3 linked regions of the Drosophila melanogaster genome follow. The protein of the gene in region 2 interacts with the protein of the main gene of each other region in a pairwise test. Each region holds a gene or a part of one and is shown on either strand. Other genes may lie near its edges.

Evidence for each region. The genes of interacting proteins can lie anywhere in the genome.
Region 1: the proteins of CG31673 (region 2) and LManIV interact in a two-hybrid assay, tested with the Drosophila melanogaster proteins (one large-scale study listed by BioGRID).
Region 3: the proteins of CG31673 (region 2) and CG13045 interact in a two-hybrid assay, tested with the Drosophila melanogaster proteins (one large-scale study listed by BioGRID).

What each region holds. Positions count from the first base shown.
Region 1 is NT_033779.5:8,768,608-8,774,180, forward strand, and holds LManIV (lysosomal alpha-mannosidase IV), read right to left. Parts: upstream 3,738-5,573; coding exon 3,654-3,737; intron 3,591-3,653; coding exon 3,220-3,590; intron 3,163-3,219; coding exon 2,692-3,162; intron 2,642-2,691; coding exon 1,810-2,641; intron 1,747-1,809; coding exon 568-1,746; 3' UTR 552-567; downstream 1-551. Other genes in the region: LManIII (lysosomal alpha-mannosidase III), read right to left, coding at 1-62; LManV (lysosomal alpha-mannosidase V), read right to left, coding at 4,397-5,573.
Region 2 is NT_033779.5:20,827,749-20,831,672, reverse strand, and holds CG31673 (uncharacterized protein), read right to left. Parts: upstream 2,065-3,924; 5' UTR 2,004-2,064; coding exon 1,600-2,003; intron 1,393-1,599; coding exon 1,061-1,392; intron 1,003-1,060; coding exon 877-1,002; intron 813-876; coding exon 694-812; 3' UTR 610-693; downstream 1-609. Other genes in the region: CG31674 (uncharacterized protein), read right to left, coding at 1-195.
Region 3 is NT_037436.4:16,289,161-16,292,781, forward strand, and holds CG13045 (uncharacterized protein), read right to left. Parts: upstream 1,791-3,621; 5' UTR 1,716-1,790; intron 1,659-1,715; 5' UTR 1,638-1,658; coding exon 1,074-1,637; 3' UTR 552-1,073; downstream 1-551.

The DNA.
Region 1 (5,573 bases), about 12 Mb from region 2:
GATTGGACAATATAAGAGGCAAACAAGGCCAACAAAATGGCCAAGTTCTTTACAGAACTCATCTTGCAGAGTTCCCTAACCAGCAACTGCACAACAAGAACTGGCTATACAATAAAAGTTGCCACTTTTATAAACTTCTCAATGGGGGGTTATCTGATAAGTAATCAACACTTCAGAATGTTTTGAATTTTAACTAGTCGAGAGAGGTAATTAACTTAAAACCAACCGCTAGTGAGAGGTCTCAAAGGGTAAGTACCATGCGTTTTATTTGGGCCACATGCAGTGCTCCAGTGTTTCTAACGTAATCAAAATGTACTTCGATTTGGCATGAATTGCAATTCTTATCATTCAATAACTTAAATGGATTTTAATTGGTAATTGCCCACTTAAAGATTACAATGTGTATACTATTGCGAGCACCATTCCATTTTGGGATTACACTCAAGCGAGCTATAATCTTCAGGAAAGGGAAAGCTCCACATGCAGAAGTAGCCGATAATGATTATGACCCCAAAAAGATAAGAATAATGTAATTTTAATTTTGATCATTTATTTCTTATACTTTTCTTACTCTGTTTTAATAATAAAAGTGCGAATTTGCATAGGATATAGTGTTACAGCAAAAAGTGAGGCCTCATCCGATTTGACAGCCTCAAGTGGCTTGTGCTGTGCCGTAGAATATTCCACGGATGACGGCTTGGTTCCGGATTCTTGTGCATGGAACTTGAATCGCTTCATATCGCTCAGTGGCATATTTCCATCCAAGGTTGTTTCCCTAATCGCCAAACCGCCAAGACTATCGAATATATCCCGAATGTTGAAGCTAATCACCCTTCCTTCAGATTTATCCAAGAAGTGTTCAAAGCGGATCAAAATTTCTTGCTCTGAGAAGAATTCCAGGGTGAGTAGGTGAACGGATTGCGGAAGATCATTAAAGTCGGGAAGGGATTTGGATGGAGTTATTTCGACTCCACCAGTTTTGCTAAAGAACTTCCAAAAGGGAAGGAAGAGCTCTTTCTCAGTCTTACGTTCCGTCACAGTATCTCCATCTGTCGCGGAATCGAGAATGAGGTAAAGTTTTCCTCGGGCAATCAGACCTTTGCCATATTGCGTCTCATTCAGGGCTTCACCCACTCCACCACCGTCGTTGAAGAGATGACGACGATGGATCAGCATCTCTAGGGCACCATCCTCCAAACTGGCTCCACCCTGGGAGCGGTCATTCAGGAGGACCAAACGCTTGGTATCGTCTTGAAGAGCAATTCTCGATGTGACTGGATAGAAGTTTCCGCTCACAGGCTGTCGGCTTAAGTCGGAAACGAAGTCCTCGCGTTTATCCTTCACACGTTTCATCAATTCACGTCCATTTGAATCGGTATAGAAAACTCCGTTCGAAGAAATCTCACTCTTAAAGTTTGTCACAAATTCACTACCTAGTTTATCATCGATGGGAATAGGGCCCACCATCCACTCCAACTCCACTCTGCTTACGCCCTCGTAGATACGGATCACTTGCGAAATCCAGTCGTTCACATGCTGATGGACTTCCTTGACCAAACTTCCTTCATAGACTGTGAACTCAAAATCATTTTCAAACAATTCTATATCTCCATCCTGGCGGAATGTGTAGGCGCAGGATGTGTGACTCTTGTAAACGCCAAAGTTCTGGACTATTTTCTCAGACACACCGTTCATTTCGACCGACTTCAATCGTCCTGTATGGTTGTCCATCACTAGTTTAACAACCTATGGGTTATATATCGTAGGGATAAAAAACATTTAAGTTATTAGACAATCAAATGCACTTACCGAGTTTTCTACAACAGTCTCTGAATTGTTATCTTCTCTGGGATTAATCTTCTTTATCGATGAATGTTTGACCTCTGAGCTCTCGACTTTTTTGATAGAGTAACTGGATACCTTATTTACCGTTGCCTTGAAAACTAACTCGTGCTGGGTATCATTGGATCTGTACTCCAATGCCAAAACTTGCCACGGCACTGGAACCACCTCCGATGGAACTGTTCTGCCCTTCTCATCGGTTACTTGATAGTTCTCCTCCTTAACAGGAATGCGAACATACTGAGTGGAGCTGTGGGCCAGGGGATTGTATAGGGTCACCAAAACGTTATCAGCACCATCCTTGGTGAAAGCACACTCGCTGATGTTCAACCTCAGGCAACTCTCAAACTCTCCATAAGGCATGTTGGTCAAAAGACGCAGGGCATCGCGGGCATTGTTAGATGCCCCAACAATGGCCTCGTACATCATTCGATCATAGTCATCCGAGACAGCCTGCTTCTCCGTGCCCGTAATGGCATCATGATGTTGCATCACTCCCATGACCTGGCGCAGATAATCCAGGTCTATTTTATGCTCTTCGCTAGTAAGATTCGCGAGTACAGAAAGCTGCTTGGCCACCTGCAACATGTGATTTCCATCACGCTCGAATCGTTTCTGAGTGGGTCGGGAAGTAAAGAATCCAGTCCAAAAGCTATTCTTCTCGTGAGCGTATGGGAAAAAGTCCTGAGTCTTGTTTGGCCAGGACTCTAGGCTCTGGTGCAAGGAGTTCAGATAGCAGCTTGGAGTGGAGTAGAAGATATTGTATTTTGAACCAGACGCTTGACGTTCATTGATGTACCTAACGCAAAAGAAAGTTATAAACGATTTGTGTTTCTTAATCACACCTACTTGATCAGTTTGTCCATATTTTTGTAGTTAACTTTTGCGTCCTCGTACTGGAAATCACCGCCCATAGGAACCATGATGTGATTAGTGATATACACCTCAGACACATTCTTTGCATAACTTATAAAGTCATCTACCCTCTGTTTCACATTATTTTCTTCGCTGTCACCATCAATAATGGGCTGATCAGTGCAAAGTATGTCGAAGCAAAAGCCTGGAGTGTCCGAGTAAAAGTTGTACAACATGCCGCTGAAGAGACTGACGCCGCTCATCGATTCACTGGCATCCCAAATCATCTCCATTGTCAAGTCATTCATACGTGTGTCCTTGTCGTTATGATCCATTCGTGAAAAGAACTGTCCATCGTAGCCCATGTGCGCGAAAATTGCAGCCTGCTCGCGGGAGTGTCCAAAAGTATCGATCTGCCAGCCAACTCGAGGACGACCACAGGAGCCAAACGTCTCGTTGAGGAACCTACGAAGATTAGAGTAATCAAAGACTAAGGAATATTAGTGTTTCTAATTAACCCACTTTAATCCCACAGTGAATTGATCAATAACACCCTGGTAATTGACATTTGCCTCATCGTTCATACTCCAAGCTCCGCCAGTAAACTCGAAACGTCCCTCGTTGACCAGTTTGGTGACCACCTTTTTCATGGACTCTGACTGGACGTTCCACCACTTGGCAAAGAATGCCGTCTCCACCTGAATGAAACGACGCTTGGGATCCTGGAGGAGCTGGGACACCACACTATCCAATATATATTGGACACCGGCATGATGAATTTTGTTCTTGTAACCATAATAAGACTGATCAACTGTCTTCAACCAGCCCACATCGTTGTGGGAGTGAGGAACCAAATGGATGTTAACCATGTTCGCTTTTGTTTCGGGACATGACTGCAAATAATATCAAAGGATATAGTGATATCATTTTGAAAAGCATCAACAAATTTATATTACCTCATAGCCACAAACTGCTTCGGATTGTTTTGCGAAGAGCACCAATAAGATGGACAGGAATAAAATGCGACCCAAATAAGTCATCTTGTCATTACCAAGTACTGAATTCCCATTAAACCAAGACTGCTCCTTTATAGGGCGCACCGTTTCTAAGAAGGCATTGATAAGAAAATACATGATGGTCACTAAGATAAGGTAACCTAATTAGCAATTAGTGGGTTATTAAAAACTTGGTGAATACTTTTTTTTAGAATGCCCACCCTCCACGTAGCGATAAGAATTGGACCCATTATTTATCAACCACTTCAAGGATTGAAGCTCCTGAAATGCACTTGCGCCCTTATTGATAACTTAGCGTATTGAAAAAGAATTTAATATACATTTTTTTAAATAAAAATTATATGATTGAGACTCTCTGTAGTGAGTGGGAAAGGTTTCTGCACACTGCTTATAAAATAAAAGTAATCAACAGTCATAAGTAACTTGAATTATATGAGGCCGTAACTGTTAATTCCATATAAACATGGTAATACTCCACTAACTTCTAAAGTAAAACCTCAGAGTTAATTGGGTTAAACCCGTGCGGTTAATTGAATTTTGTAAAGTTTTAAAAAATTTTCATATGACTCGTATTACTTCCCTGTATGTATGAGGGACTTATTTCCTAATAAGTTAAAGCAAAACAACAGTGTTTTTATTCAGACATAATTTTATTTATTTCTTTGATTTTCATTGAAATACAATTATTCATGTTTAATGATGAATGTTCGAATCTGCATTGGATACAATGTGACAGCGAACTCGGCGGCATCTTGCGTCTGGTTAGCGGACAGCGGCTTGTGGGACGAGGTGTAGTACTCAGGTTCTGATCCCCTAATTCCTGAACCCTCAGCGTGGAACTTGAACTGCTTCATGTCACTCAAGGGCAGGTTGCCATCCAAGGTAGTTTCGCGGATTTCGACTCCGTTCAGGTAGTCAAAGATCGGGCGAATGTTAAAGCTAACCACTTTGCCTTCGATGTGATCCTTGAAGTTCTCCACACGCAGCAGAATCTCATCGTCGTTGAAGGGTTCTAGGGTGAGCAGATGCACCGACTTGGGGAAGTCGTCAAAGCTGGGAACCGACTTGGCAGCAGCGGTGGTGCTTCCAGTGTTCTTGCTGAAGAACTTCCAAAGGGGCAGATGGAACTCCTTTTCGGCTTCGCGCTCGGCGGACGTGGACTCGTCGGCGGCGTTAAGGATTAGGAACACCTTACCACGGGCAATCAAGGGCTGGCCGTACTTCTCCTCATTCAAGGCCTCTCCCACTCCATAGCCATCATCACGGACGAGTCGACGGTGCAGCATAAGTTCAATTTGGCCATCCTTCATGCTGGTGCCTCCTTGAGCACGATCGTTTAGGATCGCAAGGCGCTTGTTGCTGTCCTGCAGAGCAATGCGCGATGTGATGGGATAATAGTTTCCGGAAGTAGGCTGGACAGCAAGCTCGGGGGTGAAGTCCTCTCGCTTGTCCTTTTCGCGTCTGATCAACTCGCGTCCATTGGAATCAGTATAGAATACGCCATTGGAGGCAATTTCACTGCTGAAGATAGTTACTACTTCCGTGCCAAATTCCTCTTCAACCGGAATAGGGCCTACAAGCCACTCGAATTCCACGTAAGGCTTGTCCTCGCTGATACGGATGACCTGCGAAATGTATTCGCTGAAACGCTGGTGAACTTCCTTGACTAAAGCTCCATCGTAAACAGTGAACTCGACACCATCTTCCTGGATGACGAAGTCTCCTTGATTGTACTGACGGAACACATAGGCACCAGAGTCATAGGTCCTATAAAGACCATAGCTCTGCTCAATGTTCTCGGATACTCCGTTCATTTCAACCCTCTTCAAGAGGCCGGTTTTGTTGTCCAGCACCAACTTG
Region 2 (3,924 bases):
CTCGGCATTGAGTATGTCCCGACCACCCCAAATAACGGCATGAGCCCCCCTGATCTTTTCTAGAATTTCAGGCCGATTTTTTGGAGGTTCATTTATTACTTGCAGGATCTCGCATTGCTCCTTCAGGATTTCAATTCCCTCTGGCGGAACATCGGTATGTGCTATCAGCACTTTAAACGGCTTTGTTGTTGACATTTTAAGTCCTTCTGGTGACGAAAAGATATTATTTGATAGGAAAAATAATTACAAGTGCCACACTTTATAGATAATCACTGACACAGAGCAGAGTTTCGAATATTCTCTTTTTTCGTGAGCAGTTAGAAGCTTTTTGATTGCTCTTCCTCTCTGAAGCTCTTAAATGCTCAAAAATCGGAGTCTATTAGCACCGACGTTATATTCCCTGCGTTTCTTAAACGACTGACAAACGGTTGGCTTTGTCGCCGGACTTTTATAGAGCACCAGATCCCCCTATCACAGAAAAAGCTGACAACAAAACGCATGAAGAGCTTTTATGGTTACGTTCATAATTTTCATAATTATTCACTTATTCAATTAAACAAGAAAAAATATCAATCCATTATAGTTGCGGTTAACAAGTTCGACATTTATATGTTTAATATCATTTTTTAATATTGATTTTCCGATCCGAGTAGGATACAGGTAAAGTTTCTTCCATTCAAATTTTGCATGTTCTCAGTAGGCTGGCCTTATCATGGGCTTCCCTTCGATGGCGTTCAAAATATTATTGGCAGCAAGCAATCCCATTTCAATGGTAGTCTTCATTGTCTGAGTGCCCATATGGGGAAGGATAACTGTGGAAATATATAAATAATATTTCAGTTCACTCAGGGAAGAGAAATAAATGTTCTAGCTTACCACAATTGGGCACATTGAGAAGAGGACTATTGGCGGGCAGTGGTTCTGGTGTGGTCACATCCAAGCCTGCGGCAGAAATTGTACCATTTGTCAGGGCGTCATGAAGGTCAGTTTGATTTACCAGACCTGAAAAAATCCACGGGTATGCAATAGCGTTCATACAGTTATGTAGTTAAAATCCTACCTCCTCTGGCCACATTGACAAACACAGAACTCCTCTTCATCAGATTAAATGCCTTTCCATTGAATTTCTCTCTAGTTTCGTTTGTAAGTGGAGCAGCTACCACCAGGAAGTCACTTTCTTGTAAAAGTTGTTCAAACGACACATGCTCTGCCTTGAAGTCGCCATCGTTTTCCTTTCGGGTGCGAGTATGGTAGATGATCTTGGCCACATCCCAGCACTGCAATCGCTTGGCGATGGCCTGACTAATACCGCCAAAGCCAAAGAAACCGATGACGGAATCGCGAATCTCTTGACCCATCATCCAGTTGATCTGCTCGATTTTCCATTGGGACCTGTAAATATTTTTATATTATATTATGTTTTCATATGAAACGTATTAATGATTGGTAAGTATTAGGTGTACTTAAGTATCTGATATTCCAAAAGAGTGTAGAAGTAGAGCCGTATATAGGGCATGTGCAACTAGTTGGCAACCCTCATCCGAAAAGCTCTCAATATTAAAAGCTTCTGAGAAAAAAGCGCCCATCAGCTTTTCTTACCTCTCGATTTCGGTGCGACCGGCATGAAAGTGACGACCGGCTGCAATCATCAAGCCAATGGCGAGATCGGCCACTGCATTTTTCACCACCCCGGGAGTGTGGCCCAATGGGATTCCCCTCTTCTGGAACTCCGGAATATCCACAAAATCGATTCCGGAGGACATGGTGCTCACGCAACGCAGCTGGGATCCAGCAGCATCCAGGATTCCGGCATTCAGGGGCTGGTAATGGGCCCAATAGATGGCATCCACGCCGGGCACCTTCTGCAGGATCTCATCCCTCGAGGGCGGCACACTCTGGCAGATGATGGTCTCCGCTCCACGGGATCGGAGCAGTTCCAGAGCCGGTGCTGGGACATTTGGATGCGAAATCAGCACTTTAAAAGCCCTGGTCGCACGAGACATTTCGGGGGAAAATATAGCACTTAATATCAACTAGTAGCGGCGAATTGCAGGGCTGAACTAAGTGGAAATTTTCGAAATGACAATTCAAGCTTTTTCTGTGCCCCGCTCTTAGGCTTAAAAGGTTCTCTTAAGCTTTTACATTTTAATTTGCTCTCATCTCTTGAAATTCACATTACTATTTCCTGCGCGTTCCTATACAATTTTTAGGGATAGTATTAAAGTATTACAGTAAAAAGAAAAGTTTACAATTATAAAATTGATTATTTATATATAGCTTTATATAATTAAAGTCATTATTTATTTACGTTTCTATGAGCGATTTTCATACATATTTCGTAGTAATCAGTCAAACTATACCATTAGATTAGATTTCCACATTAATTAATCAATTTGCATCAGGAAAATGTTTTTTTACTCTATTTCACATTTACTGGGATGCGGCTAAACCCATTTAAATGTAATAGTAGGTGGGCAACTAGGTACATGGGATCCCCAGCCAAGCCACGAATCACATTATAGGTAGTAATGGTGCCACAATATGCGGCAGGACAACTGAAAGTTATGCAAAAATAACGATCTTTAAATAAATCAACTAAAAAGGTGACATTAAAGATCAACATTTACGCAGAAACATGATAAAACTAAACAGCAAAAACGTTAACCTACTCATTTGTAACCTTCAAGAAACCTTAATGAAATCTTGCCAAAATACTTTTAGACACTGTCTGTCAACCACTAAAGAGATAAGACAAAAATCTTTATACTGATAAGGGGCCAGAAGTACGAGTATTTGTTAGGTGGGGGCCCTAAAAGCAACTAGGACTGATATCAATAGCCTACAGGAACTATAAAAAGCTGTAATCTTTAGATTAGGCATACAGATTACGTCTACGCTGCAAAAGATTGTTTCAAATCGTTGCCACGCCCACAACTGTTACATACATATTTTTGAAAAATTAAAAATGCTTTATGTCCTGAGATCGAGTTGTTCGAAAGGACAGACATATACTTGTATGCAATGAAAACGTTTTCTTCTTCCCGTTACTTATTTTTGAAAGAAGTATACCGTTTACTTTTGGAGTAACAGGTATACTGATTAATCGTTCAATTTAATATACTACTACATCCTTTACTGTACAACATGGTGTACATCCTCTTGGATCACTTGTGGAAACGACGACTCGAACCCACTGCCAAATCGACCACGTCGTTGTTGACAGGGGACTTTGCACCTCTTGACTTCCGGCACATCGGCGTAGTCAGCTGGGGGCAGTATTCATTTAGAGCCACTGCCTTATGGGGCTACTGTCCTGCTCAGTCGCCGGTCTGCTTTCTTGCTGGTTGCAGCAGTTGCAGTTGCAGTTCTCTTTCTGCAGATAAATGCCCACATAGTAATCCCTGGGATTCGCCCCCAGCACCTTGAAACCAACGGGCCATGCCCAGGGGCCTTCAATTATTATATTCGATCAGCAAAGCCATAATCAGTGGGAGCAGGTTGAAAAACTACAACCGAAGTCGGGTTTCGCGAGCGAACTCTCAAGCGGCATAAGCACCCAGTTTTAAGAAGCGATGATCCTATTCCGATCCTGATCCGACAAGCTCCCGCAGCCGTTCCTGGGACTTTTGGATGCGAAATCAGCAGTTTGAAGGTCCTCGATACATTTTGGGGAAAAGTGGTAGGTTTTGCAATTGTGCAGAGCTAAACTTTGCGAATTACTAAATCAATGTTTTCTGCTCTCATTTCTTAAAACGTACAATATTATTTCCTACGATATACTATATTAGTATTTAAATTATGTTTCTCATTCTCTAGCACCAATTATTCTATTGCTTTACCTATTCCATATTAATCAGTTGAGCTAATCTTACGGTATAGATTAGATTCCCACATATTTAATTTAATAAATTTGCAACAGCAAAT
Region 3 (3,621 bases), on a different chromosome or scaffold from region 2:
TATGCGCATCCGAATTTAATTTACACTGAAAGAAATGGGGAGCCACTTTTCACTATCGGAATTAATGTTAAATACAAATTTATTATTATTATACCCGTTACTCGTAGACCTTTAGATAGTAAAATACACTCACAATAAATGCGGATCCGAATGAGGTTTACACTGAAAGAAAAGGGAGGAACTTTTCCTGTTTTTATTTAAAATTCAGATATATTAATTTAATATTACACCCAGAAACTTACTTATTCATTTTTTTTTTTTCATTTTACTAACATTGATTTGCCAACAGAAAATGTTAAAATTTCTATTTCGTTCGCCCACTAGATGAGTAGTGGGTATCTTATAGTCGAAGAACTCGACTATAGCGTTCTTGTACTTCTAGTAATTTAGCTAATGTGCTGTTTATAGTGTAATAGCTTGATTTATTGACTTATAGATGTAGGTATCTAAGAAAATACTTATGTATTCTAATTCAAGATAACAAGATCCAATTAATATCCAAAAAGTGGACAAATACAGTTCTGTCTTCTTAAACATTAAATCTAAATGTTAAGCCGCCACCCAAATATATTAGTATTCAAACTTAAATACGGAAATACACAATTTACTTGATTTATTTGTTTAATAACAATATTTGTAGTGTAATCAAGCTGTCTATCTGTGAACTCAAAGGCTCTTTAAAGTTTAAACTGTTGACCCAATTGACGGATGGCTCCGCTATTTCCCTCTTTCATTCATTGACTTAGGTCAGTTGATCCGTAGTCATAGCTTTAATAGCGGCAAATTTATATTATTTATTCATTTTTCTGGGCCCTCTCAAAGTCAAGCCTCGCCTTTGGCCAAAATTGGCTGAGCCAAAAAATAACTTCGAGCCATGAAAACATCTGAATTATTTATGGGTATTGACATAAGCATAATTTAATCGCTACGCTTCGCGTTCTTCGCATAAATTCACCAGTCGCGTATAATACGAAACATAACAACATTATTTAGATTTAATTAATTGCTAATTTGAGGAAATTATCATTCATAGTTATGCATGATGAGCCAGAGCCCAGCTGGCGCTTCTCGAGTTACCAGCCCTGAGTGCTAAATGCTACAGGAGGGGGAGCTCCATAAACGGCGGCCGGAGAATGATGAGGTGGTGACCCAAAGTGGAGCTTGTACCTGCCATATGACGGGGCAGCAGCTGCAAACTGATAGCCAGTGGGTGGAGGAGCAAACCGGGCTATGAACTGTGGTGGTGGTGGAGCTGCTGCAGCATAATGAACGGCTGGTGGTGGTGGTGCTGCAAATCCGGTGTAGGTGGTGGTGGTAGTGGTCACTGGAGCTCCAAGGGAGTACTTAATAACTGGCTGTGGTGCCGCATAGGTTGTAGCATATTTAAAGATCGCCGGAGGTGGTGGACCATAGTGATCGACAGCTCCGTACGCAAATCCTTGATGGGCACTAAAGGCCGCTGGCACGGTGACGGTATCGGAAACGGGTACTGCTACTGGAGCAGGTACCGCCACTGGAGATGGAACCGGATATGGAGAAGGCACAGGAACTGGCACTGGGACTGGAACTCCCACGGGAACGCCCACCGTCGATGGTTCATGATGGAAACTTCCAAGCGCTGGAGCACCAAAACACATCAGAACACATATCAAAGGTATCTATATATAAAGATAAACTATTATTTTTCAGTTAAAAGTCACTTTCGATTCACTTGCTTTTGAAATATTTAACATTTTCACCCGTTATGCTTTCTTCCGTTTTCGATTTCCGTATTAAGTCACTTCTCCGCGACACTTTCACACGAAATGAATCGATTTTGGCTGACCATTGCAGGTTTATATATACCACGATCCGAGTTATGCTGATTTAGTGGGTGGAGGAGTAGGTGGAGGAGGAGTGGAGGAGGGGTCTGGAAACTAGAGGAGCCGAAAGGTAAAAACTCCATTAAGGGATCTGCGCACGACGTGCAATCGACAAGCGAATCGTGCGGCAAATGCATGCGACAAGTTTTGCAATGCCCCATCCGCAGGCGAAATTCGGTGGAAGTACGAACCACAAGTCGGTGGTCAAAACTTCAAATGAGGTAATTAAGGTGGAAGGTATAACTTCACACTTTACCGAAAAAAAAAAAATTGTTAACAGTTTAAGAACTCCGAATCAGTAAAGTAAAGATGTGAATGCTTTTGTGACTCCGTTTGAAGTCAAGAAGTCAACCTATCCAATCTTATTTTTTATTAGATTCCAATTCAGAATTGCTGTAGTCGGATAGATGGTGTTAAAATTAATAAGCATATGTATTATTTCAGACATCTTCTAAATAAATTCCTCAGATATAAGATATGCACCTTAACACACCCCTCTCTTCGGATCAACATCTTAAACTCTTCCACCTCAGAAGCCATTATCATGTGCACTTCATTCGCCCAAAGCCATGGATCACATTTACGAATGCACGCGCTACACTGCAGCAACTTTTACTGCCGCCGCCACCAGCTGCAAAAAAGTATAAAATATAAGACAAAAAAAAAAAAAGCAAGCAAGTGGCAAGAGCTGCAAGAAACCCATTGCGATCACGTTCCAGGCACCTTTTTATGCCTTATGACTCTGATTGATGGCCGTTGCCGAAATATAAATGCCAAAATATCACACGCCAGTTAAAAGTCGATTTATTACCGCCGCCAACAAAGCCATTTTCGTTGCTCTCAATTAGCCGTGGAAAAGCCCAAAAGTTGGCCGCGTCTTGTGCATCGCCTCCAAGTCGCCCAAAAGTGGGCAAACGTGTGCATGGAATTGCTACCATAAAATCTGGTCCAGAATCTGTCGTAAACAGGCGAAATTCCCGCACGGGTTGCCAATTAAATTTGGGTTGCCAAATGCGCGACACGCGCTCATCGAAATTGTCAACACAGGAGCAGGACGCTGAAAAAAAAGAATAACAGAGGAAAATCGAGGACGGGAAAGCCGGGGAAATTAGCATAACAAAGTGGCTAAATCAGAAATCGATATGTTCACCTTCGCTGAACCGAAAAAGGGGGCACAGATAGCGGGAATTTCCACGCACGTTTTTCTTTTTGTTTTCCTTTTGTGTTCCAAGTGGAGCACACGCCCAGCTTTTGAGCTGATTCTACTCCTCGAGTGGTTGCTTCGCGTTTTCCCCCATTTTCCATACAAATTTTCCACACATTTTCCGCCGCCGCTGGCAACAGGTGCTCTTGAAACGGAGCCGCATTGTAATGTAATGCGTGCTAAATCGCTGCACGTGTTTGGCAACAACAAGTGCGAATTTGTATCCCCCATCCACCACCAAAATAATACTTTGTTGCAAGCTATTGAAGTTTCAGCTGATTTGATTCACTCAATTGATTGCACACAACCTGTTAGCTGGAAGATATGCTACAAATATTATTCAAATGGTTTTTCGTTTCGAGGAAACCGTTGAATGTATACCAAATCATAAAATTATTTTCGCTCATCAATTTTGAATATGTACACGCTTTCCTTCAATCGCAATTTCATTTGAATTTCAATGTTGCCCCACCATATTATTTATACAATGCGATAAAGCTCCTTCTTGCTTATACGCAGTGAGGTCAGTCGTTGAACTCGGTGCAAGGACTTCCA